4 linked regions of the Saccharomyces cerevisiae S288C genome follow. The gene in region 3 interacts genetically with the main gene of each other region. Each region holds a gene or a part of one and is shown on either strand. Other genes may lie near its edges. The genes, in order: ZNF1, YLR126C, IMA5 and DIM1.

Evidence for each region.
Region 1: mutations in IMA5 (region 3) and ZNF1 together harm fitness more than expected from each alone (negative genetic interaction), as found in Saccharomyces cerevisiae (one large-scale study listed by BioGRID).
Region 2: mutations in IMA5 (region 3) and YLR126C together harm fitness more than expected from each alone (negative genetic interaction), as found in Saccharomyces cerevisiae (one large-scale study listed by BioGRID).
Region 4: mutations in IMA5 (region 3) and DIM1 together harm fitness less than expected from each alone (positive genetic interaction), as found in Saccharomyces cerevisiae (one large-scale study listed by BioGRID).

The regions. Positions count from the first base shown.
Region 1 is NC_001138.5:26,214-30,585, reverse strand, and holds ZNF1 (DNA-binding domain containing protein), read right to left. Parts: upstream 2,355-4,372; coding exon 957-2,354; downstream 1-956. Other genes in the region: YFL051C (uncharacterized protein), read left to right, coding at 46-528. UniProt on the Saccharomyces cerevisiae protein: Transcription factor that regulates respiratory growth and plays a critical role in stress adaptation during non-fermentative growth.
Region 2 is NC_001144.5:393,614-397,651, forward strand, and holds YLR126C (putative amidotransferase), read right to left. Parts: upstream 1,908-4,038; coding exon 1,152-1,907; downstream 1-1,151. Other genes in the region: YLR125W (uncharacterized protein), read left to right, coding at 1-281; APC2 (anaphase promoting complex subunit 2), read right to left, coding at 2,145-4,038. UniProt on the Saccharomyces cerevisiae protein: May have a role in copper and iron homeostasis.
Region 3 is NC_001142.9:23,452-28,037, forward strand, and holds IMA5 (oligo-1,6-glucosidase IMA5), read right to left. Parts: upstream 2,636-4,586; coding exon 890-2,635; downstream 1-889. Other genes in the region: REE1 (Ree1p), read left to right, coding at 1-278; hexose transporter HXT8, read left to right, coding at 3,436-4,586. UniProt on the Saccharomyces cerevisiae protein: Alpha-glucosidase with specificity for isomaltose, maltose, and palatinose.
Region 4 is NC_001148.4:36,832-40,931, forward strand, and holds DIM1 (putative dimethyladenosine transferase), read left to right. Parts: upstream 1-2,289; coding exon 2,290-3,246; downstream 3,247-4,100. Other genes in the region: PLC1 (phosphatidylinositol phospholipase C), read left to right, coding at 1-1,014; ACM1 (Acm1p), read left to right, coding at 1,338-1,967. UniProt on the Saccharomyces cerevisiae protein: Specifically dimethylates two adjacent adenosines in the loop of a conserved hairpin near the 3'-end of 18S rRNA in the 40S particle.

The sequences.
Region 1 (4,372 bases), on a different chromosome or scaffold from region 3:
TTAATGTAACAATTGGAGGATACCAGCATCCCTCCACACCTTCAAATGTCTATACCCCATTCCGTATTTTCGGCACTCTTGGTCTTCGTGGCGCTAGCTACTACAACCTTAGCCAGTACAGAAGCTTGCTTACCAACAAACAAAAGGGAAGATGGTATGAATATTAATTTTTATGAGTACACAATAGGCGACCAAACCACATACTTGGAGCCTGAATATATGGGCTATGAATACTCCAATACAAAGAAGTTAGGTTCCGTTAGCGGACAGACCAATCTCTCCATATACTATAGTCCGCCTTGTGAGAGCACTCCTACCTGTGTGACTTATGCAGTTTTGAAGCGTGATGAGGATGGATATGATCCTTGCGGACCTCTTTATGAAACTAAAAAACGTGACACTGAATACTGTGACCCAAATACTGCCTATTGGAGTTCTGATCTTTTTGGTTTCTATACTACTCCAACTAATGTAACTGTGGAAATGACAGGGTACTTAATATGGAGTATGGGCAACCGACGCCGTTGAACCTCTCCTTGGAGATTCTGATAATTTTATGACCATGACTTCTCGTGCACCTTACAGGAAACTTTAATGGCCTGATAAGTACAGCTATATTGTGATCACAATTATTAAAAACTAACTCATTTCATCTATAACCAAGTACAAATCGCACGACTATCATGACGATAAAAGCGTATATCCTTGATTTAATTCACATCACAATCACCCCCCTTGAAAAAAAAATAAATTTTTTTTCTTGCTATAATAGCATAATTGTCCACAAGTTCACTATTAGTGCTATCATTCTTCCCCACTGCCGCAAAATTGCAAAGGAAATAATTGTTTGCCCTGCAGGAACCATATACTAAAGAAGAAATAGATGCTATTAGCCTCTTCAACTGTCCGTAATCACTACATCTTGAAAGGTAAAATGCAAGTAGCAATGTGTTTACTTAAGGAAGCGCATCTACATCTTCTTTAGAACCATCTGTCGATTCAAGCGGATTAGAAAGAGGAAGCGTGATAAGCGCACACTGACACTTTGTCGTAAACTTATCAACTAATGTGCTATCACAATGCTTAAGAGAGAAGACAAATTTGGATATATCGAACAAAAAATTCCAAGCCTCCGACTCTGCATTTTGATCGTACTGATTCACAACATCTACCAATGCGTCGGCTATTTCTAGTGCTTTCACTGATATCCCTGGACCGTGAACTGCATAAAGATTTTTTGGGATTAAAAATGTGTCTTCTAACATGTCTCTAGCAATTTCTACTGGAATATGCGTATTCTTGCTATTTGAAAGGAAACTGATTCGCATACCGCTTATTTGAAGCACTAGCTTCCAAGCAAGTGTTCTAATCCAATGCCGTGAAAAAGATATGTCTACATAGCCGTAAGACCATGGTTCTATCTCAAGTGGCACCGTATGAAGTTCCCTCCATATCTTTTTAAGGGAGTCTTCAGTACAGGTTACATTAGCAGAGTCGGTAGCTAGAGCATCAAAGAAGCATTTTCCCGGTACAGTAAATACCCTAATCATCTCCAAGAAGCTGTCGAGAGATAGTCGGGGGTCCGTTACGTTCTCCGGTTGTGGTGGAGCAATCGTGGTATCCAGGCTCGTGGCGCAATGCGTATACACAGAAAAGTATCTTTCCGTTAAGAGAAGCAAATAATAAACTTTCCTTCCAAGCTGCTGCTCATCGAAAGGAAGAAGTTTCAAAGTTTCCTCGCGATGGAACCCCGCCAACTTAATGAGCCCCACGGCTTCACAAGAAAGCCGATACGAAGTTCTTGAGTTGGACATCTGTGCGTAGCAGCGGTTTAGACAATAGTACGTCATAATCTTGAATATATCACTACCGTTAAAATCGTCAAATTCTTGGCGTGATGACATGCAGAAACTGGATAACTGTATCCCAGTAAAGGTAACCCCTCCTTCCGACTCAATTTCAGTCTGCAAATCGCTAAGCGTGGCGGCAGAAAGAGATACCAGGAACCAATACACACAGGTTTCGTCATATCTTTTCTCTAAAAGTTCGTAAAGATCATCATAACACAGCAAAGGCCAGATCACATACAACTTATCATTATAGAGCCGCAGACACTGATCAATTAGTGCCTTTGGAACCTTCATTATGCCACCACTACTACTTTTACTAAATACCTGTACATCATCTACTTTCTTTAAATTTCTCACCTTGACGGGTTTTGGACCTCTTTTCTTCAAAGGTCGAAGATATGTACATTGCAGATTGTGTTGAAGACAACATTTACATGGTTTTTTACGATCACACTTTACTCGACGAATGCAACAACAGTCGCACGCTTGTCTATTGCGGGCCATCTTCGAACTAGAGCTCTTTTACTTTAGCTCTTTTGACAAGACAATGAAGCATTTCTTGAAGGTTTTCTTCTTTTCTCCGTATTTAAGTCAACAAGATATAGCTAATTTATTAAGCCGGGGGTGGGGAAAAACGCGGTAGTAACGTGGGGTACTTTAAAGTGGGGGAGATGGCACAGACAAAGCCGCAGGTACCTCGAGAACTCAGGGGAAAAAGGAACGCAGTTCAATAAGCTACCGATTTGGCAGATCTCAGGAGTAAAAATATAAATCTTAGTGCACATACAAGTGATAACTGCAACTCCAGATTTTTCTTTCGGTCGATTCGTTGATGCAACAATGTCGAAATTATAGTTAGGCGTTTGTTCCTGTAATTTAACTTCAAGTGGAGGAGTCAATGTTCTTTCCTATGTTCTATTTGTGGGATAGAAAAGTTAAAAAGAAGGTTTTTGAGTATCCCAGTGATAGTGCAGTACTACTTCTGTGTATTCCCGATTATTACAACGGCGGAGTTTTTTTCGCATAAACTCAGACTACTAAGTAACTCTCGAGCATCGTGAAGATCCTGATACTTTATCTATGCATTACGTACGGAACGGAGTGAGGCCTTTCTCCAGAAAAATCGTTGAGATGGCATGTAGGTTCTAGATTTGTGACGACACTCAACAAGAAAAGTTTGAGGTGAATATCTTACCCGCGACATCTGGAGCGAGAAGAAAGCCGTAATCGATAACGTATTCTCTCAATGCTGTGGCGTTTCAGTAGTATTTTGTTATTACCGACGAAAACGGTTCCTCAAGAAATAAAATATATCTAGAGGTAAGTTGCAAAACGCTAGACTATTTATGGCAAGATTAGTATTTGCTGTCGTGATATCATAAGTAGAGACACATGTTCAGCTTCTCACTTGAATTTAGGTTAGAACAAAATCTTTAAACAGCAGTTACAATGAATGTTTGGGAGACCTAGTCAGTCTCCATACTGCCAAGAAAAAGGTTAGTCGAACTGGAAAAACAAGGCTGTACTGCACCCTAATGTTTCTTAGTAAGCAATTCGCTATCGACGCCGAATACCATGAACATCAACCTTGTGAAAGCTTTCGCATATTGGCGCTCAAGAGATATAGACGGTACTAGTGAAAGAGAGACAAGGCCGCCGGATTACTTGCTCTCGTCATTGTAATTGTTCAATTTCACAGACATTTCTCTGGCATGTATCCATTGGGGCACCACAATAAGGGAATATTTTACAATATCGTAAGCTGTTCGTAATACGCGGCTTCTCTTTACTCAAAGCCCAATGAATCCTGGCTTCGAAAATCATACAAACTGTGAAATCTACTTATTTGAAATGACAAACACTGCTTCCCAGTCTGGAGGCTCTCTTTGAGGATAACTAACATGTATGGCTAAAAATAGTTAAAATAATTGAGACGACATTGCACTTGCTATAATCAGACTTCAATAACATATGCATACAAGAAACTTCTCTTTTGAAATAGGAGCGGGGCTCCATCACAAAGAGATTGAAATTTGATACTAGCTCTAAAATCGAGGCAGGGATGTTCCAATGATCGAGTTTGTCATGAAATATAAGGATGTTCACGTCAAGCTCGAGAAATGTTTCAAAATACCGCGAAATAACTCAAAAAGCTGGGTCACGAAGAAATGATTCTAGAAACAGGCGCTTATGCTCTTATATAATGAGATGTCTACATCGTCAGAACTAAGTGCGAAGAATACGGCCTACATTAGAGATTCTTCAAGGTAGTGAAACGTATTCGTGGCAGTGGTTATGGAACTGCCTTACGGTTGATTCAAAAGACTCATTGCATACTCAATTTAAAACGGCTCAAATCATTTGAAAAAATAATAGGCAATATAAAATAGAGAAATCACAGCACCTTGACGGACTGATATTACGAATAACGAGTATCATTGCCAAAGTTTGGCGTATGGGCGACGTGCGTCCATGCAAATCTACAGTAGATATTTTCAAAAGAGATCATTGTCAAAAAGATA
Region 2 (4,038 bases), on a different chromosome or scaffold from region 3:
ACTATCCTCTATTGAATGAAACAGCGGCATGGCCAGATGGGGTGATTACCTCTGAAGAAGGATGTTCATCTTCAGGTGAGAAAGAGAATTCAGGCTTATGTTCAGAAGAAAGTTCAGAAGAAGATCCAGAAGAAGCTGAAGAGGAATCTGCAAGGGCTTTTGGAGAGTTAGTTGCAGTCTTGCGGGACAAAGACATACCACTGAATGTATTGGACGAACCTCAGATGAAAGATTGGCTTGAAAAATACACCGGTGTTTATAGAAGCTCTTGGCATGGTTGATTATGAAGAAAATTCCATAATTTTGCGAGGTGGGAGAATACTCTTGGGAAAGTGTTGAGAACAAAAACGCCACTAAAAACAGCAGGATTATTAAAAAGTAAAAAAAAAAAATTCCTTTTCAAGCAGGCAAACAATGGGTTATTTGAATGGAGAAGTATGCTACTATTTCTGCATGTTGTGGATCTAAGGCGATGTGGGCCTAGATTCTTTCCTTTTTTTGTTTTTACCTTAATTATCTTACGTTGTTCTTTCCGTCAGTTTTACACCTGACATGGGACAAGAGAACAAATTGTGAAATAAGTTCAAGCCTCTGTTGACATTTATTGATGTATCTATTTCTTTGAGGGTTAATTAAAGATAACAAATTGCTTTCTTCCGCTAATTTGAGCCTATTGAATTTACTGGGAAATGCCAACGTGGTCAGACATCAATTCAAGAAGTTTAGTTCTCAGAGAGTGTAACTTGCCTGTTTGGTCGCTGCAGTGAAACTGCCATTAGCTCTTTAGAACAACGTTCTAACTATACGAGGACCATATTACGTAAATCAACAAACCTCAAGAATTAGTGTCATATTTTCTCGCAGATATTACTACTGACATTCAGTCAGCTATATCCATTATGCATGAGCGAAAAAAAAGTGCATACAAAAAAGCTTATTTATTGGACTTAATAAACGAAACTATGTAGTGCCGAACCTTCGGATACTGATCATTGGAGTGATTTGATAAAGTTTCTGCAGAATTCTGGGAAATGAAGGAAATGACGTAGCGAGGCCTTCATGCAACACTAGTTGAAATTGAAAAAAAAAAAAACCTTATAAGCTATCTTTCCTATACGTCCTCTATCGACTATATAACCCAAGCAGCTGTTTCATATTTTTTGCAAGAATAACCTCCAAATATTCCTGGCAGCTTGTATGCCATTGTTATCCAGCTCCTGGCACTGTCTTTCGTATCTATTAAACTCTTCAAGGGTAAGCTTGTCTTGAGACTTCAAAAGCCCCTTCTGAGCGACATCACTATTGAATTCAGGGTGTCCTTGAAACGTCAGCACTCTGTTTTGCCTGTAAAATCCTTGGTTTTGACATTTTTCACTTGACGCCCAATTTTGGTATCCCTCTGGGACATCGAACACGCAGTCACTGTGCACTTCAGAAAGATTTAATTCTTGAGCACCAAATAACTTTTGACCCACAGAGTTCAGTTTTAGTGACACAACCCCACCTTCAAACCCTTTCGGATTCCGTCCAACTGAACTTCCTAGAGCAGCCGCGATAACTTGATGACCAAAACATATTCCAGCTACGGGCGGATATTCAGTCTTGCTAGTTAGCATCTCATTTAAGAAACTTCTTAATTTCATAATCCATTCAATTTCATTATCAAATGAATCATATTTTGAACCAGTGATGTATATGCCTAAATACTCATCTTTCTGAAGATCTGACAATTGAGGGAACACGTTTTTTTGTACGTGGAACACTTCATATTCGACATCTTCTGCGATACATTCCAATTTCCTGGTCTGTTCTAATAGCTTGATAGCCATATCAACAAAATTGCCCCATGGTTTACTCCATTCGTTATCTTCATCTGTATAAAGAATAGCTATTTTTTTTACTGTCATTATGATGTTTTCTTAGTATTTTTTTGATATAATTCAATTCTAATATATGTTAATGCATAATTTTCAGAGCTATAGCGGTATATATTTCAAACTTTCTCAATTATCTATGTGAAATTATAAACCTTATCTGTCTTTTCTTCTGTACACCTCATCTGCCACTTCCCACTTTGGCGCGCGTTGACATTTTGCGACAAAAAGAGATTGTTCGTGGCAGTCGTGTAAAAAACTGCACCTCAATCATGAGTTTTTATGCCCATTTTTCACTATTTCATATGAACCATTGGCAATGTACTTCAGCCTACCCTCATCGGCCAGAGTGTTTAAATATCCCTCTAATTGTTGAAGAGTAATTCGGTTATATCCCCAATCTTTTGGCACGGTAATTTTCAAAAAAGAATGGATCTTATGAAGTTTCATTGCGCCTAAATTAGTCAGCATTCCTTCGATGAATGGCAGACTTCTTTGAAGTGTCAATTCATATTTTCTTTCTATCTCAGAATCGTTATGTAGTTCATAGTTACTGTTCTCAATCTCCATTGGGGCGGTCTTTTGTGCTTGATCAAAATCCATCTCGCTATGTTCAATAACGGAATAGGTTCCATTTTCTTTTAAAAGCACACCTTTTTGAATCCAGAAATCTAACAAATGAGTTAGCCTGGGAGGAGCAATATTTAGTGACTCAGAAAGCTGCTCTAGTGATAAACAAATTGGCTCATCATTTGGAGAATCAAACTGATTTATTACGCTGCATTGTTCTAAAGAAACGTCTAACACTAATTTCCTACCATCTTTGAAAGCTAATTGTATTTCTACTTTTCCTTTATCTTTGCATAGTTGTAACTTGCGCCCAGGTTTCAGCTGTGAGTATATATCAGAATACTTCTGTAGCTCCCTTTCTAAATCTATTGGTAAATGAAATGCAAGATCATTAGAACCTTGTGTATCGCAGTTGTACTTCCAGTAGAGGAGTGAGATAAATTTTGGAAATATTATGGGATCCAGTCCGGCTACTTCATGCATTTTACGGCAGAGCTCCTCGCTACATTTTATATCCCAAAGCATAACATCAATGCTATTCAAATTCGACTGGTCTGCATCTGCTGCAGGGGCTGTTGTTTCTAGGAGTCCTAATATACCGTTTGTTATATAATTGGAATGACTTGTTTCTGTGAATTTGACTATTTTTTCTCTTATTAATTTCAAACATCGGGTCCATTTTTCATCCAACGTATAAAATTTCAAAGTGAATAATCTGTCGGTTAAGAGATTTCGAAATTCTGATATGAAAAATTCTCTTGATTCAAATAGATCCAAAAGCACCTCAAACAAATTTGTCTTAATATAACTTGATTTGATGTTACCGGGAATCATGTCATTAGGCTCTGGTACCCAAGCTATATAATAATTGAGTATATGTTCGTATAGCATGGCGTGTCTTATTGGTAGGTCCTTGTTCAATTCCCTCTTTCCTTTCACCTTGAGGTTCCATAGAAAGGGGCTTTTTTTATTCTTGTCCCTTTTGGTGATGTTCGTATCTTGATTGATATCAGAATCGTGCAAAGTGTCTACAAGTGAGAGCAGTGCCTTCATATCTACATTGAAATTAATTTTCTCCTTTAGTTCTTCTTCAGGTAAGTCCAACATTGCGTATAACAATACATTTACTAAGTGCTTCCGCTCCTGAAAGTAAGGTTTAACAAACGTGGTTATTGAATGTAGGCATCTCCCTGTTGGATCCAGGACCAAAAATGCTTTGATAGTTTTAACATATCTCAACAAAGCGTCCACCGTAGTTACGCTGGGGTTTAGAATGTATTTCTTGAAATCAGACAAAAAAGTTGTTACAATATTTGTGTAGTCTTTAAAATCTTTCATAATTTTCCTCAATTCCAATAAAGTAACCTTTGAATCAGGATAAGCCAAAACGCATATATCAAAGATTTCATTCGTTCTTATCCTAAGAAAATTGGACTCAAAACAGTTGAAAACTGTAGTGGTCAGTTCGTGATCATCCTCTGGACAACCGACTAATTTAGAGAACTGAGACCAATATTGATTAATAAATTTGTTGAATGTTTCCATAATCATAAACCTTTTATTCCATACTCTACTCATGTTATCTTCACAAAAT
Region 3 (4,586 bases):
TTTTGACAAATGGAAAATCAGATTGGTCAACTGCTGTTTATGGCGGAAATGCTCGCGATTTCTGGCTTCGTGTTACTGTTGAAAAGGGCGTTTTGAGGATTCAGGTGTCCTCTGATAAAAAAACATGGCCGTTAGTACGTTTGGCTCCATTTCCAACTTCTGACCATTACCTTGTTGGACCAATGGCTTGCACACCTGAGCGTGGCGGATTGAAAGTTACTTTCTCGGAATGGAGTCTCACAGCTCCTTTAGGAAAAGCTTTACATGATTTGAGTTAGTTCACCTATATATCAATATATAAAGAGGGGTTTGCTTTTGTTAAGAACAAGGCCTGCACCTCACTAAGATCTGTTGATTTGGCACTATGCTTTTTAAAATTTTGTTTATACTCAATTTCGTCAAGATTTTTTTTACTAGTACAATCCATACAGTTAACAAAATACTGGGCAATAAGGCGTGCATACTACGAAATTTTTAGTTTTGTTATAATAAACGACTTTTAGCTAGTGTTTTAAGATAAAGTGACGAAAGTTAGGGTGAGAATAGTCGAATGTATTTACTAATTATTGAATTCGTGGTAATTAGTACTTATGATGATGGGGTTTAAAGGGCTAAATTTAGACAATAGAAACAGTAATAATGATGTTTTCTATTTTTCTGCTGTACGTTGCTTTTTATTTTATATTTCTTCGGAAAAAGGTTCAGTGAATTTTCTGTCTTCTATATACATATATAAATTGCAATTGAAAATAGCGTACAGCGTAAGTTAAGTATCCAATGCTCACATATGAAAAGCAAAAGTAAAAAGAAATATACAAGTTTATTATTCATAAATATCGGCATAACTATTTGTTTCGAAAGATCAGTACGTTTATGTTAAATGTGCTCGTTACTTCAACAAGTAAAGTCTTCCTTCCCATGGCTGCAAGGTGCGGGAATCACCATTTGAGTTTGCATAGTTGCCAAAAAACATGGTGTAGGAGGCCTCATTATCAGGAACTGAAAAGTCCGTATTATCGCTACTGAAATTGAAAACAGCAAACATTTTTTTGTTATCTGTGTCCTTTGTAAACATGAATAGCTTGTCATTATCAAGATCAATGAACTGAAAGTTATGTCCATAAACAAGGATATCTTTGTGCTCCTTTCTAACTTGTAAGGCCTTTTTCCAGAAAAAGAAGACTGAGTTTTTATCTTTTAACTCAGCTTCTGCGTTGATTCCGTCTCTAAATGATTCATTCATGTCAATCCATGGTTTGGCATCCTTCGAGAAACCTGCAGAAGGCTCATCAGCACTCCATGGGAATGGTGTTCTCCCATGATCTCTAGAGATCAAAGCTAATGCTTCAAAAAACTTTTTCATCTTTTCAGAATCTTCACCATAATCACGTTTAATGGCGGCATATGTACCAGTACCTTCAACGCATTTGATTTGCTCAATTTTTCTGTTTTTGAAGTTGGGCATACCCAATTCTTGTCCTTGGTAGATAAAAACAGTACCAGTCAATGAAATGATGAGAGTAGCCAACATCTTGGACGAAATCTCACGCCATTTAGGAGAATCTGAGCCAAAACGCGAAACGCTACGAGGTTGATCATGATTCTCCAAATAGATGGTCGACCAGCAATCTGTGTTTTCGATAAACAGAAAGCTTTCAGCAAGAGCCAGCTTAAAGTCTTTTAAAGTAAAGGGAATAAGTTCGTACTTGCATTTTGGGTTTTCACCTACTGAGGTGTGCTTGAAGTTGAACATCATATTTAGTTCTCCTTCTTTGGCACTGGTATAAACTCTGAAGTCGTCTTCATTCCCGATACCAACTTCTCCAACAGTCATGATTTCTTTACCCTCTGGAACTTGCGAGAGCATGTAGTTATGCATTTCTTTATGATACTCATGGATACGTGGCCCATTTATGAAAAATTCAGTTCCTTTTTGGTAAGGAACTGTAGGATCAGTGATAGGAGCATCGGGTAGGCCCTCAACCTTAGAATACATGCTGCCTACGTCAATACGAAAGCCATCAACGTTGTGACGTAGCCAATAGCCCACTGAGGAGTCATAAATGGCTTTACGGCACTCTTCATTTTCCCAATTGAAATCAGGTTGGCCAAGAGCAAACACATGCAGAAAGAACTCACCAGTTTTTTCGTCATATCTCCAAGCAGATCCACCAAAGAAAGATCTCCAATTGTTGGGAGGAATTGGATTACCTTTCTCATCGTAACCCTTTGGAGGTCTCCAGAAAAACCAGTCACGCTTTGGATTAGCCTTAGAAGATCTACTCTCCTTGAACCATTCATGCTCTTCAGAACAGTGGTTGATAACCAGGTCAACAATAACCTTGATACCTCTCTTATGAGCTTCTTCTATCATTTGGAAACAATCCTCATTGGTACCGTAACGTGGCCAAACCTTCTCATAGTTGGCAATATCGTAACCCATATCTTCTTGAGGAGAGTCATAAAATGGGCACACCCATATCGCATCGACACCTAATTCTTTGACATAGTCAAGTTTGGAGGTAATCCCAGCTAAATCACCCCATCCGTCATTGTTGGAGTCCTTGAAACTAGCAGGATAAATTTGGTAGACGGTGGCTTCTTTCCACCATTTAGGATTATGGATGATCGTCATGTTTTTCTTTTCAATATTGAGCACTTTCTATATAGTCATCAAGAAACAGTAGTTTTTCGCACCAAGATATGTGAACAAGTGTCCTAATTTATAATTCGTCAGACGTTTATGAACTTACTCCTCAAAACCGTATCAATTACCGTAGCGGTAATGGAAGATACAATTCTTAAGTGTGAATTACTTTTTCCGGTGAATTAGCTTCTAGGATTGTGACTATTTCAATGGACAATGTTGCAAATAGTTTCAAATATTCCCGTGTTTCTCCGAGGATTCTCCACGGAGGAAAAATAATGCAAAGTTTATTTCCCCGTTTTCTTTTCTCCGTCTAGGCATTTACGCTTTCACGCAACTTTATTATATCACCTCCGCGGGGATTCAACAACGAGGTATGTGGAGAAGGAGAGAAATTCCAGAGAAAGCAGCCTAGAGCATCCTGCTGCAGCAACTTATAAACGTATCTCACAGAAAAGGCCGGAGAAAGTTCTTGAAATGTGTAATTTAGCCTACCTGCCAAGCGGCTGGAATTATCCCGAGAATAATTCCGCGACCGGGCCTGTTCCTGAACTCTAAGAAGTTTTGGAATTTCCGAACGCTTCTTCGCATGAAAGACATGAACTCTTAAGTAAAATAATATGAACTGGCATGGTCGTAATCTTTTGGACGACGGAATATCATCGCTAACCATTGTAAGGGATGAAGCTTGACTAGATATATTTAAACGACCATTTTTGTTTCATTCTTATTTTAGATTGCATTTTTTATAAGTCACTTTTAGTTAGCTCAGAACGCCAGCAAAAACCATGACTGATCGTAAAACCAACTTGCCAGAAGAACCGATTTTCGAAGAGGCAGAAGATGATGGCTGCCCTTCGATAGAAAATTCTTCACATCTGTCAGTACCTACAGTGGAGGAAAACAAGGACTTTTCCGAGTATAATGGGGAAGAGGCAGAGGAAGTTGTTGTTCCAGAAAAGCCTGCTTCAGCCTATGCTACTGTTTCTATCATGTGTTTATGTATGGCTTTCGGTGGATTTATGTCCGGTTGGGACACAGGTACGATTTCTGGTTTCGTCAATCAGACTGATTTTTTAAGAAGATTTGGTAATTATAGCCATTCCAAGAACACTTACTACTTATCTAATGTGAGAACTGGGTTGATTGTGTCCATCTTCAATGTGGGAAGCGCCATTGGCTGTCTTTTCTTGTCTAAATTGGGTGATATTTACGGCCGCTGCATGGGTTTGATTATAGTTATTGTCGTTTATATGGTTGGTATTGTCATTCAAATTGCCTCTATAGATAAGTGGTATCAGTATTTTATTGGAAGAATTATCGCTGGTATAGGTGCTGGTTCCATTAGTGTTCTTGCCCCGATGCTTATTTCGGAAACTGCGCCAAAGCATATCAGAGGTACGTTGCTAGCTTGTTGGCAATTGATGGTGACTTTCGCAATTTTCTTGGGTTATTGTACCAATTATGGTACCAAGACTTACTCGAATTCTGTCCAGTGGCGTGTTCCGCTTGGTCTATGTTTTGCATGGGCTATTATTATGATTGGTGGTATGACGTTTGTTCCGGAATCTCCTCGGTTTTTGGTGCAAGTCGGTAAGATTGAGCAAGCTAAAGCTTCTTTTGCCAAGTCGAACAAGCTTAGTGTTGACGATCCTGCTGTGGTTGCAGAGATTGATCTTCTTGTTGCTGGTGTGGAGGCAGAAGAAGCAATGGGAACTGCTTCATGGAAGGAATTATTTTCGAGAAAGACTAAAGTTTTTCAACGTTTAACGATGACAGTCATGATTAACTCTCTGCAGCAACTAACCGGTGACAACTATTTCTTCTACTACGGTACTACTATCTTCAAATCTGTCGGTATGAATGACTCTTTTGAGACTTCAATTGTCTTGGGTATTGTGAATTTTGCTTCTTGCTTCTTTTCACTTTATTCTGTTGA
Region 4 (4,100 bases), on a different chromosome or scaffold from region 3:
GAGCCATTTCCATCTTCTTTTAGTTCTTCTTACGAATCAGCTAATGAACAGGAATTAAGAATGAAAGATGACTCCACGAACAGTAGTAGCGCAACAAATTCTTCTAGTATGCAACGCATCAAAAGAATTGGATTAAAAAAGCACGCTGATATAATTAATGATGTTTCTAACATTTCTGGAATACATGGCATCAAGTTCAGGAATTTCTCTTTACCAGAGTCCAAAACGATAGCGCATTGTTTTTCACTGAATGAGCGCAAAGTAGAATACATGATAAAAGACAAACACTTAAAATTATCGTTGGATAAACATAATAGAAGATATTTGATGAGAGTCTATCCTCACGTTTTACGATACAAATCATCAAATTTTAACCCAATACCTTTTTGGAAGGCCGGTGTACAAATGGTGGCTACGAATTGGCAAACTAATGATATTGGACAGCAACTTAATCTGGCAATGTTTCAAATATTAGATCACCAACCTGATGGAAGTTTTAAATCAGGATACGTGCTAAAACCAAAAAAGTTGCTACCTGTAGTAACAAAGGCGAAAATGATTCCATTAATTTACGAACATTTTGAAAATGGTAGTGATCCTGTTACTGTTAAAATTCGAATTTTATCTACACAGTTATTGCCCAGATTGAATGATACATCGCCAAGCAGAAATAACACCAATTCCTTTGTTAAAGTGGAGTTTCATACCGATGACGAGCCGACAATGCCCATCTCAATCGATAAGGGTACAAGGATTTCTGCCACTGAAGCATCCACTAAGAGTTCTCAAGGGAATGGATTCAACCCAATATGGGATGCTGAAGTTTCTATCACATTGAAAGATACAGACCTCACATTTATAAAATTCATGGTTATCTCTGAAGAGACCCAGATTGCATCTGTTTGCCTTAAGCTGAACTATTTGAGGATGGGATATCGTCACATTCCGTTGTTTAACATGGAGGGGGAACAATACATATTTTGCACTTTATTTATTCATACACAAATTTTATAGGCGATCTTTTTCCGGCCAAATACACATATTCATAAATACGTACATATACCTACTTGCATATACCAACATGATTACCTAGAATGGATATATCAAATGGGACGACGAAGTACCACGACAATACACAATAACAACTTCTGTTTTTCGCTGATTGCCTTCTCTTCAGCAGAAAGTTGATGCATATTTCGCGTAGCGCGTTGACGCGTCTTCTTTCTGAAGTTTTGTGCTTTTGTTATCATACTATATAAAGTAAAAAGAAAGGAGAACATATTAAGCATTACTGAATTAGGATCCTTTGGAAGAAATAAAGTAAGAGACACTGAAAGATGATATCACCATCAAAAAAGAGAACCATTTTATCAAGCAAGAATATAAACCAAAAACCACGAGCAGTGGTAAAAGGCAATGAACTTCGTTCACCATCAAAGAGAAGGTCACAAATAGACACAGACTATGCACTAAGGCGAAGTCCAATAAAGACAATCCAAATTTCTAAAGCTGCACAATTTATGCTGTATGAGGAAACGGCTGAAGAAAGAAACATAGCTGTCCACAGACATAATGAAATATACAATAATAACAATTCTGTGAGCAATGAGAATAATCCTTCCCAAGTAAAAGAAAACCTTTCACCCGCTAAAATTTGCCCTTATGAAAGAGCATTTTTAAGGGAAGGAGGAAGAATTGCATTGAAGGACTTAAGTGTTGACGAATTCAAAGGTTACATACAGGATCCTCTCACCGATGAGACTATACCACTGACGTTGCCACTGGGTGATAAAAAAATCAGCCTACCCAGTTTTATAACGCCGCCAAGAAATTCGAAGATATCTATTTTCTTCACTAGTAAACACCAAGGACAGAACCCAGAGACAAAGATATCCCGTTCTACCGATGACGTCAGTGAAAAAAAAGTAGTGAGAAAACTGTCCTTCCACGTCTATGAAGATGAGTAAATAATGTACACAGTTAGCGTCTAATAATTAATTAACGATACCAATTTAATTCATTCACGTATTCCTCACCTCGTGTGTAAATTACTAACAGAGTAGTAATAATAATAAGAATCAATAATAATAATAAATCCATCCTTGTGTATTACCCGGGTTAGAGGGTAGAAAAATTTTTGAAAATCGCGATGAGCTGAAAATTGAAAATATTTGGTTATAACATAAGATCGATAAATTAGGAACAGTGCATTATACAGTGGACTCATTCGGTTAGAAGCTTTAGACGTCGTACCTTTTATATCGATACAAATAAAAATAAAATTATACCATGGGAAAGGCTGCGAAAAAGAAGTACTCCGGAGCAACTTCGTCCAAACAAGTCTCTGCCGAGAAACATTTGAGTTCAGTATTTAAATTCAACACAGATCTAGGTCAGCATATTTTGAAAAATCCTTTGGTGGCGCAAGGTATTGTTGATAAGGCACAGATTAGACCCTCAGATGTTGTTTTGGAGGTTGGTCCTGGTACAGGTAACCTAACTGTAAGGATCCTCGAACAAGCAAAAAACGTAGTGGCAGTAGAAATGGATCCCAGAATGGCTGCAGAATTAACTAAGAGGGTACGTGGCACACCTGTGGAGAAAAAGTTAGAAATCATGCTTGGAGATTTTATGAAGACTGAATTACCATACTTTGATATCTGTATTAGTAACACTCCTTACCAGATCTCATCGCCTCTGGTTTTCAAATTAATTAACCAACCAAGACCACCAAGAGTATCTATTCTTATGTTTCAAAGAGAGTTTGCTTTAAGATTACTGGCAAGACCAGGTGACTCATTATACTGTAGATTATCCGCCAATGTACAAATGTGGGCTAATGTTACACACATCATGAAAGTGGGTAAGAATAACTTCAGACCGCCACCACAAGTGGAATCCAGCGTTGTTAGACTAGAGATTAAAAATCCAAGACCGCAAGTGGATTACAACGAATGGGATGGTTTGTTGAGAATCGTCTTTGTGAGGAAAAACAGAACGATTTCAGCTGGCTTCAAATCGACCACCGTGATGGACATTCTGGAGAAGAATTATAAGACATTTTTGGCGATGAACAACGAAATGGTGGATGATACAAAGGGTTCTATGCACGATGTCGTCAAGGAAAAGATTGACACAGTTCTGAAGGAGACCGACTTAGGCGACAAAAGAGCGGGTAAATGTGATCAAAATGATTTCCTAAGGCTATTATATGCTTTTCACCAGGTTGGTATCCATTTTTCATGAGCTCTCTTATCAATTATGTAAGTGCTTGTATACTATTTACCTAAGATAAGAAAAAAAAAAGCAATTCAAAATTAAGCTTATCTTGACAGCGGGGCTGGTTTGTTTCTAGAAGACAAAAAGTGGGGAATCATTTTTACGTAACTCCCCCTGATAAGAAGGACTCACATCCTTATAGGTACGATAAAGAATGGTTGTATCTTTCCTATTTTTCGAAATCGTTATCTTATATAGTTGAACTACTACGGTTAAAAAGCTTAAGCCTCAGCCCTCTTAGTCAAACTTCTTTTTTGAAGGCACCAGGGTGCATAAAAGTGCGTCTATTGTTTCCCAGTGGAACTCTGTTGAGATAGCGATGTTTGTTTTTTTTTCACTTAACGGCAACCAATACCGATAGCGACGTCGCTGGCAGTGTAGAGTGGCCGTACGGCGTCGCTAGATGGCACGGCACTGATTGCGGCGGGAGTCGCTAGGCGGTGATGCATTTCCGCACAGGGACCAGAGGAAGCTTCCCAGGCGGTGACAGTAAGTGAACTCATTATCATGTCTTCTCCAAAACATTCGTGACATCTAGTCATGCTCCTCGCAATTCACTCCGATTGGTATAGCTTTTTCGGTAGTTTTAGCTACTATGCTTAGGGGAAAGAGGAGAAACCGTACCGTCAGTCTCAGTCAAAAAATTTTGATATTCAATCTGATAGCAAAGTTGGAACTTGGGGTTATCTGGCCCTTTTTTGTTATCATATTCGTATACCCAACAACATATCGGTTCCACCGGTCCTTTTTATATATAAAAGACGATGTGTAGATGCACTCGAGTATTCTTGGAGAACGTAACTTGTATTGAGCTAGAGTGC